Linked DNA regions of Callithrix jacchus. The protein of the gene in region 1 purifies or fractionates together with the protein of each later gene. This does not show direct contact. Links are inferred from orthologs where the notes say so. Each region holds a gene or a part of one and is shown in the gene's direction. Other genes may lie near its edges.

What was found.
Region 2: the proteins of USP44 (region 1) and CETN2 purify together in Homo sapiens (affinity purification with mass spectrometry; 4 studies listed by BioGRID and IntAct, counting the BioPlex papers as one, with this or other methods). This does not show direct contact. The link is inferred for Callithrix jacchus from reciprocal best matches to the Homo sapiens genes USP44 and CETN2.

What each region holds. Positions count from the first base shown.
Region 1 is NC_133510.1:98,610,418-98,614,231, reverse strand, and holds part of USP44 (ubiquitin carboxyl-terminal hydrolase 44), read left to right. Parts: intron 1-3,075; coding exon 3,076-3,271; intron 3,272-3,814.
Region 2 is NC_133524.1:148,960,064-148,964,564, reverse strand, and holds the start of CETN2 (centrin-2), read left to right. Parts: upstream 1-1,684; 5' UTR 1,685-1,731; coding exon 1,732-1,734; exon of another isoform or gene 1,735-1,870; intron 1,871-2,625; coding exon 2,626-2,784; intron 2,785-3,104; coding exon 3,105-3,233; intron 3,234-3,638; coding exon 3,639-3,776; intron 3,777-4,341; coding exon 4,342-4,431; 3' UTR 4,432-4,501. UniProt on the Homo sapiens protein: Plays a fundamental role in microtubule organizing center structure and function. Required for centriole duplication and correct spindle formation. Has a role in regulating cytokinesis and genome stability via cooperation with CALM1 and CCP110.

The sequences.
Region 1 (3,814 bases):
GTAAAAGTTCTGTATACTCAGTGGACTTATTGATGAACTATGAATAGACATAAGGCTCTCAACTTTCTTATAACACAGATTTAAACAAAATTTTTATAGGTCATTTCCTTCCCCCTGCACACCTACCTCTGTTTTTCAGTTCAACTTTTTTTTTTTTTTTTTTTTTGAGGCAGAGTCTTGCTCTGTCTCTCAAGCTGGAGGTGCAGTGGTGCGATCTTGGCTCACTGCTACCTCCGCATTCCAGGTCAAGCAATTCTCCTGCCTCAGCCTCTCAAGGAACTGAAATTATAGACACCCGCCACCTCGCCCAGCTTATTTTTGAATTTTTAGTAGAGATGGGGTTTCACCATCTTGTTCAGGCTGGTCTTGAACTCCTGACCTTGTGAGCCACCATGCCACCACACCCGGCTTCAGTTCAACTTTCACTGTGATAAGGTCATCTTTTGTTTTTATAGCATACTTTCCTAGATTGTTGTTTAAGTATTTCAGATGCATTTCTCCTTAAGGAATATCTATGAAGTTTATTTTTCAGTGTTTCAAAATGCAGACTTTACTCTGTGTCAGTGAGCAAGTAAGAGTTGTACTTGTGTTATATGCAATTTTACTTCTCTATCTTTCTCCGTCATTTCCTTTTCATGCAAAAGTTTTTAAATACGCTATTATAGAGTGCAATATATAGCTGCAGGAAACCTATATAAGAAATCTATGTAGAAAAAGTGAAAAATCATTCTCTAATCCTGTAACCCCACAATCCATGGGTAAAACTGTTAATATTTTGGTATATTTTTTTCTAGTCTCTTTTCTCCTGCACATAGATACATATTTTCCCATAATTGCTCGTTTTGCACTTACCTGCTTTTCCCGTTTAATGTTGTGATGATTTTCCAGTCATTAAAAATATTTCATCATTCTTTTCAAAACATTTCAATGTTCATCACTTTTTTCTTTTTGTATATTTCTGTTGTTTAACATCATGTTTATACCATAACTTAGTTAACCTTCCTCTATTGTTGACTGTTTTTAATTTTTTCCATTTTTATGATGTCAATTAATTTTTCCAATTTCCTTATGACAGAGTCCTGGACACTGACTTTGTCAGAGTAAGACATCTGTTACTTGGTGACAAAGTTCTTTCCAGAAAGTGTTTTTCTTTTTTAAATATATTTCCAGTAATATGAGAGTGGCTATGTGCTTTTTTTCCCTTTTATAAATAAATTTTGAAATTAATACAAATTATTATACCATTTTTTTTGCTTTTCTTTAATACACTCTTAGGGAACGGGTTCTCAGGAGATTTAAGACAGTTGGTTGCTGGAATGTGTTTTCCTTTTATTTTTTTATGGAGATGAGGTCTCACTGTGTTGCCCAGGCTGGTCTCGAACTCCTGGCTCAAGCAGTCCTCCGCTTTGGCCTCTCAAAGGGCTGAGATTTGAGATAACAGGCATGAGCCACTACACCCAGCCTGGAATGGCTTTTTGTGTGTTTTTTCTTTTGTCTTTTTTTTTTTTAATTCAAGAAAATTCTCACAATGTCAGGCCCTGGCACTACTGAGTCCCTAGATTATAAACGCCAGGAGTATTCTTTGTGTCAATTTGTTAAATCTAAAATCTGTATTAGATCTGGCTTCTTTATTTCATTGCCTATGCCGGGACTATAGCTTGTATGAAAGAGGTTCTTTATAATATTTCATATCATGTGTGACTTGCTAGTTCATGGAGTCTGTCTTCAATTATGTGCAGTGTCTGTTGGCATTCAATTCTGCTGAATGTCTCACTGAAGTTACTATTCAGGTCCTTTCCAGTTGCTACATTGCCTATGTAAGTTGTTAAAACAGCTCCATGTTTTTCATTTTCTGTGTTAGGAAGGGGATTTTAATGGGATGTTTAAGAGTATAACATCATTTATGTCATATATCATGTCTTTTGAAATAATCAGTTGTCAGGGCCTAACTGCGTAATGAAAAGACAGTATTGCCGAGCATAGTGGCTCACACCTGTAATCCCTGCACTTTGGGAAGCCAAGGCGGATGGGTCACCTGAAGTCAGGAATTCAAGACCAGCCTGGCCAACATGGTGAAACCCTGTCTGTACTAAAAATACAAAAAAATTAGCCAAGTGTGGTGGCAGGCATCTATAATCCTATCTACTGGGGAGGCTGAGGCAGGAGAATTGCTTGAACCTAAGGGGCCAGAGGTCGAAGTGAGCCAAGATCACGCCATTGCACTCCAGCCTGGGTGACAGACTGAAGCTCCGTCTCAAAAAATAAATAAGTAAAAGGAAAAGAAAAGATAGTATTTTACTTCTAATATGGTTAAGATTGGATTGGACTAAGAGGTTATAGCATTTGGAATTAGGGGGGATAAAATCATCAAAAGATGAAGGAGAGGCCGGGTATAGTGGCTCATACCTGTAACCCTAGCACTTTGGGAGGCTGAGGTGGGCGGATCACCTAAAGTCAGGAATTTGAGACCATCCTGGCCAACATGGCAAAACCTTGTCTTTACTAAAAGTAGAAAAATTAGCTGGGTATGGTAGCTGGTACCTGCAGTCCAGCTACTCAGGTGGCTGAGGCAGGAGAATCACTTGAACCTAGGAGACAGAGGTTGCAGTGACCCGAGATTGTGCCATTGCACCCTAATACAGGGGACGGAGCAAGACTCTACCTCAGAAAAAAAAGATGGAGAAACAGTGAGGAACCTCAAGACTAATGACATAAATACATTAAATTTAATGCATGTGAATAAACATCATATGTATATATCTATATATACATATACATAATACGTTTCTATTCAGTATGTCTACAATTTGGATTTTTACCTAAATGTAATGCCCTTAGAGCTTTTTGAATGTCCAGTAGTTAAAGCACCTAATTCATGATGGGACTAATGACAGTCTTTTGGAAGGAAAAATTATAATGAAAGATTTCCTGACAAGAATGTAAAGCAGATTATTCAGAATTCTAATGGTGCATTTTCATGAGAAAAGCTTATTTACTGGCAGTGACCTCTAGTGAAAAGAGTTAATGTTTTGATGGAAAGATTATAATCTTAGGAATGAATATTCTTATTTGCAGGTTACATGTCTTGCATGTGACAACAAATCAAATACCATAGAACCTTTCTGGGACTTGTCATTGGAGTTTCCAGAACGATATCAATGCAGTGGAAAAGATACTGCTTCCCAGCCATGTCTGGTTACTGAAATGTTGGCCAAATTTACAGAAACTGAAGCTTTAGAAGGAAAAATCTACGTATGTGACCAGTGTAACTGTGAGTAAAGATGGTGTGTTCTCTGTGCTCTCCAAGGAATAATAAAGAGAAATGCAGATGAGAGGAAGCTGAAATTCTTCAGCAGTTATGAAAATGAACTTTATTTCATTGAAATAAACAGATTTTCACTTTATAATTGGCATTTATGAACTATGCGTTTGTTTTGCCGTATTGTTGGAATTCAAATTGTTTCTGATCCTGTAGACAATTTTGGAGGGAGAAGATCATAAGAAGTTTAAATGTGATATGCAGAGCAAAATAAAGTAGCAAAGAGGAATAATGAAAGCATGTCATGTAGGGTGAAGGAAACACTCTATGAGCTTTTTTTTGCTATATATCAAAATGATATGTATATAAATGTGTGTGTCTATATACATAAAATAGGAAATAATATATGCTAGACTGCTGTTGTAGAGATTGGCTTCATCAAAGCAAAGATTTATCCAAAACCACACGCTGTCTCTTCTGTGTTAGTTATTCCCAGTGTCTACAGATAGAGGTAAGATACTTTTAAGGTGCTCACATTTCTAGCGGAGGAAGCAG
Region 2 (4,501 bases), on another chromosome or scaffold:
AGCAGGGGGGACTAGATAGGTGAGAGGTAGGAAACAGGAGACTACTCATCTGTTGTCTGACCAAGATTTACTGAGCACCTGATATGTTCCCCTCTCTGTTCCAGATCCTGGAGTACCAGTAGTGAATACCACAAAGATGCCTGCCCTCAGACAGCCTGCTTTCTAGTGGAGGGAGAACAGAGAACAAAATAAATAAGCAAAATATACAGTAGGTCAGAAGGTGGTAAGTACTATTGGAAAAAAAGTAGAGCAAGGTGAGTGGCTTGTTTGTACCGGGGACTGCTTAAGAGGAGGCAGGCAGAGGGAACAACTGGGACAAAAATGAGAGGCAGGAGTGTGGCTGGCACATGAGGTTCAACGACAAAGCCAGTATTGTGGGGCTGGAGTGAGCCTGAGGAGAGAAGAGTAATAGGCTTTGCAGAGGGCATGGTGAGAACTCTGGCTCGGACTACTTGGGAGGCTGATGATGAATCTGTTCACTGCTGAAGAAGGAAGAGGGCAAAGGGCAGAAGCTCCATTTAAAAGGTTCTAATAAGCCTCGGGCCTTTCTCTGCCTGAGAAACTTACTCTCTGCCCTCTGCCTCCCTAGATTACTGCCCCAATGCCTGGAGGAAAGACAGGTGAAGGCCGAAAGCCACGGGAATAGCGAAAGTGGGCAAATTGGACCTCCAGCTCCCTTTCTGCAGGTCTATCTCAGTCCACAGCCCTTGCACATGCTCCCTTTGAATTCTCCAAGCATACCAGTAACTTCCAAAACTCTTGGGACTTTGCTTATGAGGGCATCTCGGCCTGGAATGCTCCTCCTTATCTGTCTTGAGTGGGTGTCAAAAAGAGTATATTTTGATGACCTCTCCCGGCCCCTCATGCTCGCTCACATCCCCCTCACTCCTTTCAAAGTCCGTTCCCAAAGCCCCCAGTTCACCGTCCTGGGCTGCTTTTAGCCACGTGAGACCTAAAGTGATCCCCTCTTGGAACCTGATCTGGGGCCTATACTTCTGGGGCAGTCTGGGAGTGCTCTCGAAGGGCCACCCTCAAAGAGCGAACCTCGGCTGGATTCAGTTCCTAGGTACCAGCAGTCCGACCTCTGCAACGACGCTCAGCACACCCCTTCCCCTCTCTGGGTCTCAGCTGCCCCGTGAGTACAGCCCCTGCTCCAACACGCAAGGTCAGTAGCATCTGGGGGCTCTGATGCACTCGGTCCCTAACTCAGCCTGAGGTCAGCCCAGAAAGCACCCGACCCGGGAGGCCCCGCAGCTCTTCACTCTCCCGCCCTGCCCAGTCGCTGACACAAGGTGACTTCCAAGGGCAAGACCACGACTCTTACCCGTCTGTAGGCGCCCCCCTGGCTGGCCTCAGCTCGCAAGCAGGCTGCACCCACCGAACTCTAGCCTCAGACCGCCACCCTTTACTACCCTCCCGCGTGAGACGAGAATCAGCCGAGCTTCCTCCACCAAGAGGATTGGCCCAGCTCAGCGTTGGCTAAGCCAATTGGCGCTCGCGGCGTGATCTTGCCCAGTTATGACTGGCCTGTGTCGCCAGCGTGCCCCTCCCCGCGCTGGTCCAGGGCTTTGCCAGGTTAATTCCACCCACTTCGGCCCTGAACCAATGGAGAGCGGCGAGGGCCAGAAGACGGCCAATGGAGAGCGGGGCTGCGCGCAGGGGGCGGTGGGAACGGGGCCGAGTCAGTGTATACTGCGGTTGCCTAACAACCGGCAGCGGAGTCCTTTGGCTATGGTGAGTGCTGGCCGCTCCGTCGCGCCCCACGCCCAGAGGTTGAGCCCTTCCCAAGCCCCGGCTGTGCCACGCCGCCTCTCCTGCGCCTTTCTCGGCTTTGGCGTACAGTCCTTCCTTTGAGCTCTTTCCCGGAAGGGTAGGGTACAGGCGCTAACCAACCTACTGGGCCTGCGCTTCGCTACTGCCTCCCCTTCACCCACGACAGGCCCACACCCGCCCCTCAGGCTCCCCTGGCGTTCCCTGGTCCCCTCGGTGACCCTCCCTGGGCAAAAAAGACTCGAATCCCTCACAGACCCCTGACTCTCTCAGACCTTGGCCTCCTGGCCGCCTCATTCTGCCAAAGTTTCCCCACAGAACTGGGAGAAGGTGTATTGTTTTCTTTGAAAATGTTTTCTACAATATAAATATAGGGGCATTAAGGGGATGCTTTAGCTTCTTGGAGAAGGCACGAAGGTGCCAGATGGATTGAGTTTTATTATTAGATACTGACACGATATACATCTTAACTTCCTAATATTTGGGCAAATCTAGAAGTAATTGGGAAGTCAGAGTACTTACTAGGAAGCGGAGTACTGGCAGTGGGCATTTTAAGGCTGTTTCCAGAACCAGGTTCCCCACATTCGGGAAGAGCTGATTATCTCTAGTTGTTCACAGTCAGTTTCTTGACTAGCTCTCTTTTGGGATGATTTTCAATAAGAGATATCCTTACTGAACAAATGATCTCCCTGCATCTAGAAACAATAGTAAACCCTGTGATATTTCTTGTTAAGCAAAGCTTTGGAATTGGTTATAAATGACTTTAAAAATACATATAGGTGTCTGTAACTATGTTATGTAAATATGGACTGTATTATATATTATTGTGCTTATGTATTTGCATAACATATAAAGGCCTCCAGCTTTAAGAAGGCAAACATGGCGTCAAGTGCCCAGCGAAAAAGAATGAGTCCTAAGCCTGAGCTTACAGAAGAGCAGAAGCAGGAGATCCGGGAAGCGTTTGATCTTTTTGATGCAGATGGAACTGGCAGCATAGATGTTAAGGAACTTAAGGCAAGCTCTATGCATTCCTGCCGTTTGCCCTGCCTTTCCTCTCCCTCTTCCTTGTCATCTCTTTATCACCTCTCTACCCCTTTTGCCCTCTTCTCCCTGCAGTAAGTAACAGGGGAGGTTGTACTGTGCTCTGTTTTCCTGTCTTTACTTACCTTGAGTATTATCAGATGGATTGCAGATATCAATTAGATCTGTGTTAAAGTGTTCCCGAATCATATTAACATGATCACATCAGATACGGACTTAATGCTCTCAACACTGTTATTTTTGCTTCTTATAGTTTAGATGTGTATATTGAGACAATCCTGTTTTCATTGTAGGTGGCAATGAGGGCCCTGGGCTTTGAACCCAAGAAAGAAGAAATTAAGAAAATGATAAGTGAAATTGATAAGGAAGGGACAGGAAAAATGAACTTTGGTGACTTTTTAACTGTGATGACCCAGAAAATGGTAAGTAGTTAAGACAATTGGCATGGTACAGAGCCCCAGTCATCTGCAGAGGCCCATGGCATCTGCCTGTTAAAACAGTCATGTGAGCACACAGCAGTTCAGGCCTGCCCTCCCGTCATGTTACCTTGTGCTTCTCTCTCAAGACTTCCAAGCAGATACCTCATCCCACAGAATTCCAAACCAGTTAAGAAACAGATGTGGGATAGGGAGCAAATGTCACCTTGGATGGAGTGCCTGGCTTGCCTGGTGTTTCTCTGAGGCCAAAATGGGCTTCCTGACACTGGCTGCAAGTCTAGACTCGAGTTATTGTTAAAAAGGAGAGGGTGACTGGGCAGCGGCAGGGCTACAGGACACAAGTAACCGTGGTGTCTCCCTACTCATGTGTTTTATGTTCTACTTGTTAAGTCTGAGAAAGATACCAAAGAAGAAATCCTGAAAGCTTTCAAGCTCTTCGATGATGATGAAACTGGGAAGATTTCGTTCAAAAATCTGAAACGCGTGGCCAAGGAGTTGGGTGAGAACCTGACTGATGAGGAGCTGCAGGTTTGTAATGCCTCACACTGGAACTTCAGATTCCCACCTTTCAGCCTTCTGTGCCTTTTCTGTTACATTTTTCCTCGTGTGAGCATCTCTTTGAAGGAAAGCCAGTGGACTCTTGTCCCTTTAATAGTCAGACAAACCTATGAGCCCTGCTTCTAGAAAAATGCACAGGTGCACAATCTTACTTACTATTTTGGGTTCCAGGAATCCCTCTAGTCAAGGCAGTCTTCAAGCTCCCTCCCAGGTGATATGTTTCACAAAATATGACTTGGTTTTCAAATAACTATTCAGGAACCAGGCTATTATCAGGAGTAGCATACTGGCATTGGGTGGACTACGATGATCTTTTCACATAGCTTTATTAAAGTCTATTGCTTCCCAGGCACAGTGGCTCATGCCTATAATCCCAGTACTTTGGGAGGCTGAGTTAGGAGGATCACTTGAAGCCAGGAATTTGGCACTAGTGTGGGCAGCATAGAGACCCTGACTGTAAAAAAAGTCTATTCCTTAATCACCTTTTTGAATTAGTTTATAAATTAAGCTAACCTGAATATTTACTGTCATATAGGAAATGATTGATGAAGCTGATCGAGATGGAGATGGAGAGGTCAGTGAGCAAGAGTTCCTGCGCATCATGAAAAAGACCAGCCTTTATTGAGATCAGTGTCTTCTTTTCTACTGCAAGCACATGTAACTAGATTTAGTGCCTGCAATTGTGTGAAATCTGG